Linked DNA regions of Oryzias latipes. The protein of the gene in region 1 binds, or shares a complex with, the protein of each later gene. Links are inferred from orthologs where the notes say so. Each region holds a gene or a part of one and is shown on either strand. Other genes may lie near its edges.

What was found. Proteins that work in one complex are often made in the same cells at the same time.
Region 2: the proteins of s1pr1 (region 1) and early activation antigen CD69 are in contact, whole or in part, in a cryo-EM structure (PDB 8G94), measured with the Homo sapiens proteins. The link is inferred for Oryzias latipes from reciprocal best matches to the Homo sapiens genes S1PR1 and CD69. Residues at the interface, in NP_001307659.1 of Homo sapiens: Asn157, Leu160, Phe161, Ile164, Ser165, Trp168, Val169, Leu172, Ile173, Gly176, Ile179, Met180, Gly181; in NP_001772.1 of Homo sapiens: Val41, Ala44, Val45, Val48, Val49, Thr52, Ile53, Ile56, Ile59, Ala60, Val63.

What each region holds. Positions count from the first base shown.
Region 1 is NC_019862.2:24,606,996-24,611,017, reverse strand, and holds the start of s1pr1 (sphingosine 1-phosphate receptor 1), read left to right. Parts: upstream 1-1,215; 5' UTR 1,216-1,454; intron 1,455-3,221; 5' UTR 3,222-3,343; coding exon 3,344-4,022.
Region 2 is NC_019874.2:20,028,526-20,032,779, forward strand, and holds the start of early activation antigen CD69, read right to left. Parts: upstream 2,806-4,254; 5' UTR 2,697-2,805; coding exon 2,609-2,696; intron 2,425-2,608; coding exon 2,335-2,424; intron 1-2,334. UniProt on the Homo sapiens protein: Transmembrane protein expressed mainly on T-cells resident in mucosa that plays an essential role in immune cell homeostasis.

The sequences.
Region 1 (4,022 bases):
ATTTTTATTTTACTTATTTACATAAGTAAGTTTGTTCTCTTGGTCACCAGTAACTGCTAAAAAAAAAAAAAATTCTGCTCCTGAAGAAGGCTGTTACCTCCTAAAATTGGTAACAGGGTTACACAGAGTAAAATATTGTACAACTGATCTGTGAGCTGAGCTAATCAAGCCTTTGATAGTTTATTACCTGTTATGGATGAATATCTAGCAGACAATCAGAAAAGTTAATATTTGCTTTTCATGAATTTTGAAACCCAAATGTCACAACTGTTGTGTTCTGATGACATAGTGACAACAAATACATATGGAGCTGAAAACCTGTATGTGTGCTTCAAAGTCACACACAAAAACCCTCTCAAAGCTCTGAAAAGCATGTTCCCTCTTTTGCTAAATTTGAGAACAAAAAGCATCCATTACATGGCTTGAACTGTTTTTCTGTGTTGCTTTCAACATCATGCCACCGTGCAGAACTCAGTTCAATCCAAAAAAATGCTATATTACTGTTTGGTTTAAGAATATATCCATCCCAACATGTTCAGAACCTGTCGATTCTCTTCTGAGGTCACAGGGCAGCAGGAGCCAACCCAGCTACTGTTGGGTGAAGGTGGGATACACCCTGGACAGGTCACCAGCCTGTTGCAGGACCAAACACACACTGCACCTTCATTTTTTGTTTTTGTTTTTTGAAGGTGGGAGGAGAAAACACACATGCACAGGTGAGATTTGAACCAGGATCCTTTTTGCTGTGAAGCTAGAGTGCTCACCACTGTACCACCATGCGCAGTAGAGGGGCAGGAGTTGCAAAAGGGAACAGTAGTGGACCGCCATTAGAAAAGAAAAGATTAAAAACATGTATTTCAAACTGTTTTGTTTTTATTTATTAATAATATTAAAAGAGTAGTTATTTTAAGCTAAGGTGGTATAAATAATGCGTGTAAGAGTTTGTAGTAAGGATTTTTTTTAAATGAGCTTTAAACAATCCAAACTTTCTTGGCCCCTGTAGCTCCGCCCATGCCAAAAAATACACCGTTTAATGATGTTTCATAAATAATTCATCATTTAAAATACATAATAAATTATGATTTATGTTTTTTTATATCATCTTTTCACCATTTATTAATATGCGATTCCTCAGATCTTTTTCTAAATATAAAGCTGTGTAAATCTTTAGAGCTTGCCTTCCCCCACCCCTTGCTCTCCGTGCACGCGCGCGTGTTCTAGTGCGCGCTCTCCTTCCACTGTCGGACTCTCTTCTTGCGGACTCTGGCTGGAGGTGGAGGATAACAAAAATATTTTTTATGGTGCCGAAAGCTGCTCTTCCCTTTTCTTCGCGTCAACTTGAGACTGAGAGAAAACTCAGAAAGTGTTTTTTTTAATGTTATTTTATTTTTTTTGCGTGAAAAACAAAGTGGAGCTTCAGCCTGAGGAAAAGACAAGTCAGCTGCTGAACCCAGGTCAGTTCAAATGAAGACGTGTGTGATGTTACAGATTAAAGAGAACATAATGCTGCTTTATAACAGAAATCCAGAAAACCCGTTTTAAAATGAATCTGAAATGTTTTATAGGTCTCTAGAGCGCGCGTGCCTTCTTTATAATAAGACGTCAGGGTTCATCAGGAGGTCCTCCTGAGATGTTTGATGGAAAATCAGCTTTATATAATTATACATATTTCCCCCCTTTAACTCGCCTATAATCAGTTTTTAGCAAATGATGAAAAAATGAACTCCAAATAAGGATGAGCTTATTTAATCAGGGGTACCACAGATGATTTTTAAGTGGTAACTTTAAAAATGAGAAGGAATATAACAATAAAACAGCAGCAAAAATCTTGTTAGTTTGTTCTATCAAACTGATTTTGAATTTATAGGCTTTTTATCGCTAAATTGACAAACCAAGCAAACAAATAAAATACAAAATATAGTCGGGACTTTCTTTCTTTTTAATTGTTAAATCGTATATGAAAATATGTGAACATAAAAATTATTTTTTTTGTCTTTTGACAATAAGTGAGGAAAAAAAGTCAATACAAAGATAACTATAGCACCCTCTGCTGGTAACAGGCTGTAACTCCAGGGTGCATACGTGTGACAAAATTGTTTAGAACATTTCAAACTTTATCATTCTTATTTTTATTTCTATTATTATTATTATTATTATTATTATTATTATTATTATTATTATTATTAGTTTGAAGTAGCATAATTTCCATCAATCTTCAACTCCAAACCTGAGTTTGAGACATTTTAAAACTATTTTGAGAACTTAATAGTTTGTGGAGGTCAGATATGTCACATGATCAGATCTGGTCTAAACAGCTGGTGGTGTCAGTGCCTATACCTTACCTAAGGCACATCAGAGGATGATGAGGTTGGAGGAGATGGAAGATCTGACTGGATCTGCTCGGAATGACATCTGAGTGACATGTGAACGGATAGGTTTTTATATGAATCCCAGAAAACAAACAAACATCAACAACAACAAAAAATCCATGTATGTTAATGATTATTTCATAACGTAGAAGCCCACAGAACTATTTCTACAATCACAGAACTTGGTACACATTTTTCGGGTAAAAAGAAAAAAACAAAGACAAGACCTCGGACTTTTATCAAGGGCACAAAAGGGCCATGCCATTAACTTTGGCAAACTCTTTTTTTTTTTTTTACAAACTCACTTCCAGTAAAGGTCAAACTGTTTTTTCCCTGCAGACTCATATTTAGAAAAGACAAGAACATTGGTCAGAATATGAGCATTTTTATGCCAACAGGGATGTTTAAGGAACGGATGCACTATCGTTGACACAACGCCAGTGTGGTGTCCTGGCGTCAGTGGGTTTTTTGGATCTTAAAGAACAGAAAAAGACAAAAAGGATGCATTGTTTTCTATTTCCTCTTTGATAGGCTTGAAAATCTCTGCACCAAAATGTAAAGACAAGTTCTAAATGTTGTAAAAAATATATAGGGATTAAAAAAGTACAGAATGTATAAGGCATAAAGTTATTAAAAAGCATGAAAACTGTACGCATATGTTGCTCTTTTTACATTTTGAGTTTGCTATGATACTTGTGGTTCAGATTTTTGGTTATGAAGCTTAAAAATTCATCATTTGAGTGAACAATTTGACTTTGGACATAAATGTTGCGTCTTTCTTGAGGGAAGACTGAAGTTTGCAGAACTGATCAAGGCTCATCTGTTAACAAGGACATTTTTTTCTCTCCACAGAAGCATGTCCTCCTTTGGCAGCAGGACCCTCTCTGCTCTTCCTCAGGGTGACCCTCTGACATGAGCCACTGAAGTTTAAAGACACAGCTCCCTCTGCTGGACGTCATCTGCAGCTACAGACCATGGCTGAGTCCAGCTACTCCGATCTCATTGCCAAACACTACAACTTCACTGGCAAGTTTCGGAAGACGCAGCAGGACTCCGGTCTGAAGGCTGACTCTGTGATCTTCATCATCGTGTGCTGCTTCATCATCCTGGAGAACATCCTGGTTCTTGCCACCATTTGGAGGACCAAGAAGTTTCATAAGCCCATGTACTACTTCATTGGGAACCTGGCGCTGTCCGACCTGCTGGCCGGCGTTGTGTACACCGCCAATATCCTGCTGTCTGGAGCCAACACCTACAAGTTGACACCCACACAGTGGTTCCTGAGAGAGGGCAGCATGTTTGTGGCTCTGGCGGCATCTGTCTTCAGCCTGCTGGCCATCGCCATTGAGCGCCACCTCACCATGCTGAAAATGAAGCTGCACAACAACGGCAACACGTGCCGCGTCTTCCTCCTCATCAGCACGGTGTGGATGATTGCAGCGATGCTGGGCGGGCTGCCGCTGATGGGCTGGAACTGCATCCACAGGATGTCGGAGTGCTCCACCGTCCTGCCACTCTACCACAAGACCTACATCCTGTTCTGCACCACCGTCTTCAGCATCATCCTCATGGCCATCGTGGTGCTCTACGCCCGGATTTACACGCTGGTGCGCACTCGCAGCAGCAAGCTCGTCTTCCGCAAAGTAACCAACA
Region 2 (4,254 bases), on another chromosome or scaffold:
CTCTGAACCTTTTTTCTTCACTGATTTGTGAACCTCACTGGTGTCCACGGATTACATGAAATCTTTCCACCTTTATCCACCTTTGTCATGGTAGGGAGAGCACGGCAATATAAGGGTGGGGTCATCTGAGATAGCACAAAGGTTAACCAGTAAGGGCTCACATGAGGACAAAACCGCAAAGCAAAAAGGAAATGAGTCAATACAGTTAAAGCGAAATTGGAATTTTTGATAATTGCACCAGCACTTATCACTGCGCCGGCTTCTGTAAAACAACCTTTTGCTTCATCATCTGGGCAAAAACAAGTGGTAAGCGATTAACTTTCCCTCTGAATTGATGCTTTATTCAACCCATCGGGACGATCAGCATATATATATCGCCGAATCTTGACTGCAGCGGTGGTACTGCGCGACGCGGACTATATGTTATATATATGTACTATATGTTACGTGATGCGGCGCGATGCGCCGCATCACGTAACATATAGTACGCTGTTTATGAGAAAAGTGATCCAAATCGGAAAAAAACAAGAATAAAGTACTAAAACTGATTGAAAAATATTTTTTTTTGTAAATGACCATGGTATAAGCGGGTTAATGGCCTTCGAAGTGTGCGGTTACTACTTTTTAACGCACCTCCGCTTCGCGTCGGACGGTTCAGGCTTCCACGGCATGCGTTAAAAAGTAGTAACCGCACACTTCGTCGGCCATTAACTCTTACGTAATACATTTTCAAAATAGCCTGATTTGTTTGCAGGATTCATTGTTGTTATTCTAATTTGGTGGGTTTAGCCCCATGTTTTTGAGATCGTACAGAAGCCTATAAGTAAAAAGCACAAAGTGCTTTAAAAATCCTAGAAGCAATAGACAATTATTTATTTTCTTATCCATTTTACATTTGATTGAGAAAAAGGTAGCAGGGCAGCAGGCTGATTTGCAGCCACGAGTTGTTCACTTCTCATAAATAATGATAATAAAATACAGGGTTGTGTCAGGAAAGGCATAAAGGTCTCTGCCAGATCACCTGTGCAAATTAGTGAAAGCTGATTCGCTGTGGTGACCTCTGAAAGATATGCCGAAAAGTGAACAACAACCAAAATGACAAAGGGGAATGTCTGGCCGAAATGTTGTGTTCTCACGCTTGATACTTACCAGGACCACGATCGGACCATTTTGAAGCAGCACGACTTTTACTTCAAACTAAAACAAGTTTTTAACTTTCAACTTTTAATGTTCAGCTAGCTTCCAGCATGGCTGAACTCCAATAATTCAGCTAAAACTTGACCTACCGTAATTGAACTTAAGCCACATGAAAGGCTCATTTCAAATACTTTTTTTTTTACCAGACTGAAACTAGTTGCAGACTTATAGGCAACATTTTCATGCATTTTATTTAAAAAAGAAATCCTATTTAAAAACGTCGTTTTGGTTTGTTTTCGCGCTAAATTAAATCATTTATGTTGGGGAAGTAGATGAAAGACAGCGACAGTCATTCGGCAAAAGATTTTTTGCACAGATATCAGATCAACTGAGTTTAAATAATCTACTGCCGTTTTTGCAAACATTTTTGGGCGGAGAGCACTAAGGCAAAAAAAAAAACAATTATGATTCATTTGGCAGGAACATCAGGACATGAAAGTGGCTAAAAATAAACTTTTTTAACTGAAACAAAATGGCAATACCCTACAAAGCCACATTCATCTTGCCACCGCAAAATGAGTCAAATGATAAAAATGTTTAGATCATTCTTATAGTCACATACATTAAAGGCTAAACATAATTAAAAAAAAAAATGTAAAAATCCTGAAATGTATGTAAAAGTCTTTGGCGCAGACAAAAAAAAACTCAACTCTAGGTTTTTCTATTTCTCTTATCCAAAGATTATTCATTACAAAAGATTCCAAAATCTTTTATAGATTTCTAAAACAAAATCACAATTAGATAACTTTGGTAATCTATTAATTATTTTAAGCATTTATTGTTATATCCAAAATTGGTTGTTGTTTTTTTAAACTGCAGGAAACTGAGAATTGTATTTCCTAGAATCACCAACTTTTAATAAACTAATCATTTGAATTAAGAAAAGACCAAAAATGCATGAGTACTCAGACTTTCATTTTAATTTCTGTTTCAAAATTCACAAAAGGGGGAAAGAACCTGCACGTTCTTCACTGAAGCTGTCACTCAGACTGGGAGACGTGTTGGTACAAGCTGTCAGGGTGTTTCAGTTGCGCATTGAGCAGAGGATGCATTTGTAATAAGACTCCCAATGAAACCTCTTATTATCAGACAAACATTAATAACTCAAGACATGATGCACTTTATATAAAAGTGTACCTTGAGGAGGCTTTGTCGCATGAAAAGCTTCAGAGTAGATCTCTTCACTTGGACTCAGCAGGGTAGAGTATTGTTCTTGATTTGCTTCATCTAAAGATTAAAATAGAGACAAACAAATTTTAGAAGCAACACCTGGCAGTCACTTCTAAAGTAACAACATATTTGTCAACCTATATATACACAGGCAAAAAAAGAAGATTAGTTTCTATACTGAAAAAAAATTAATTCAGATCAAAATCAAGAACATCAGGTCTTAAAAGAAGATTTTTCCCACCTTCAGTTTTGGCCTCCTGCTTCGGTTTCTCTGCTCTTTTTTCTTTGTCCTCTGTCTCAGCCTTTGCAGGGGCCTCTTGCATCTCCATTGCTTTGCACTTTTTGTTAACTTTCGATTTACCCGACAAGTCTCTGGTCAACTGACAATGAGTTGCAAAACCCTTTCTGTCCGCAGGCTGGACTTCAGATGACACCCAGTGTGGTCAAGTCAAACTTTTTGTTAAAAAGAGAAATAAAAGTGGGGAAAAAAAAGGTCCCCTTATTTAAGTGTCCAATCAAAAGTGAGTGATGGACAGAATTAAAAAAAAAAAAAAACTTCCTCACAGACATCTTTCGTGTCTTTGTCCTTCCCCTAAACCACATGTGAACCAAACAAATACTAACCTAACTGAGATGGTTTTAAAGGGAAACAGTTTATTCCGCTTAAAAAGAACCACACACGCTCAAACAAATACAGTTTATAAATACAGAATAGATCCTAAAAAATAATTTAACAAAATATAAAATATAAACGTGTACTTTTAACTCCTTTCTCTCTACTTCAGCATTTAAATACCAGTGTTTTCCAACTTCCCCACTGTATTTCCAGATTACTTCTAATGGTATTCAAAAGCAATCCCTTACAATGTTACTTTCTCAATGCAATGCATGACGTTTGAATTCCTGCAGGAGTTTCTTTGTTACACCTGCTGAAGTTTAATCAATAAATAAACAAAGACACAAAGTATTCTACTTTAAGATGAAGGCGAATATGTCGCAATTTATACATAGTATAAATTCAAAAATAACTATTGGAGGACCGACGCTCAGGTTGAGTGCAGCTGGTAGGTTTCATTGACTGATTATGAGAACTGGACCGAGTGAGTGTCACGTCACCCATAAAAAGTAGTTTACATCCAGCTCCAAACGAAGTGTTTTCAGACGCCAATTTAATGCAGTATGGATGTCACCATGTTGGGACCAGAAATCGTTAGGAAGCAGTGATTGGCCTGAATCGGTTTGAGTCAATAGATCTCGGCAATCAGGAGAGAGCTTGTTGGAAGACCACACCCCCTACCACTAAAAACCGAGCCCAGGAGAATCTGTCAGACGTTATGATTGTTCACATGCCTTCATTGAGGCATCTGATTGGCTAGTTTATAACTTGAATAACTTAAGGTAGCACAGCAACAATAGTTATTCTGATGAATATAGGCATTCTTTAGAATAACCATGATGTTGATTTTACGTATAGATTTTTGTCATTTGTTTCGGATGTGCAAGTTATTCAAGTTTTCAGAAGCCTCAACAAAAGTATGTACTCTCACGTCTAATGCAATGTTGGTTAAATTCTTCCTAGCCCACTGGAAGTGGTACAGGTGTGGCCCTCCAGCAAGCTCATTCCTGATTGGTAAGCCAGTCTTTGTCTCATTGGTTGCTATTCCAGTAACACATCAATATACATGAGTTAAAAAATTTTCAGCAAAGCTGGAAAAAAATTGACATTATTTTTATCAGGATGATTTAATTTCAAACAATGTGCACATTTTGTAATAAGTGCAATAAATATAAATAAAACATAGAAAGAATAAAGGGGGAACCCAATTCATATCTGATGTTTTTTTTTCCTTTTAATTATGGATAGCAAAAAGAAAAAAACAAATATTA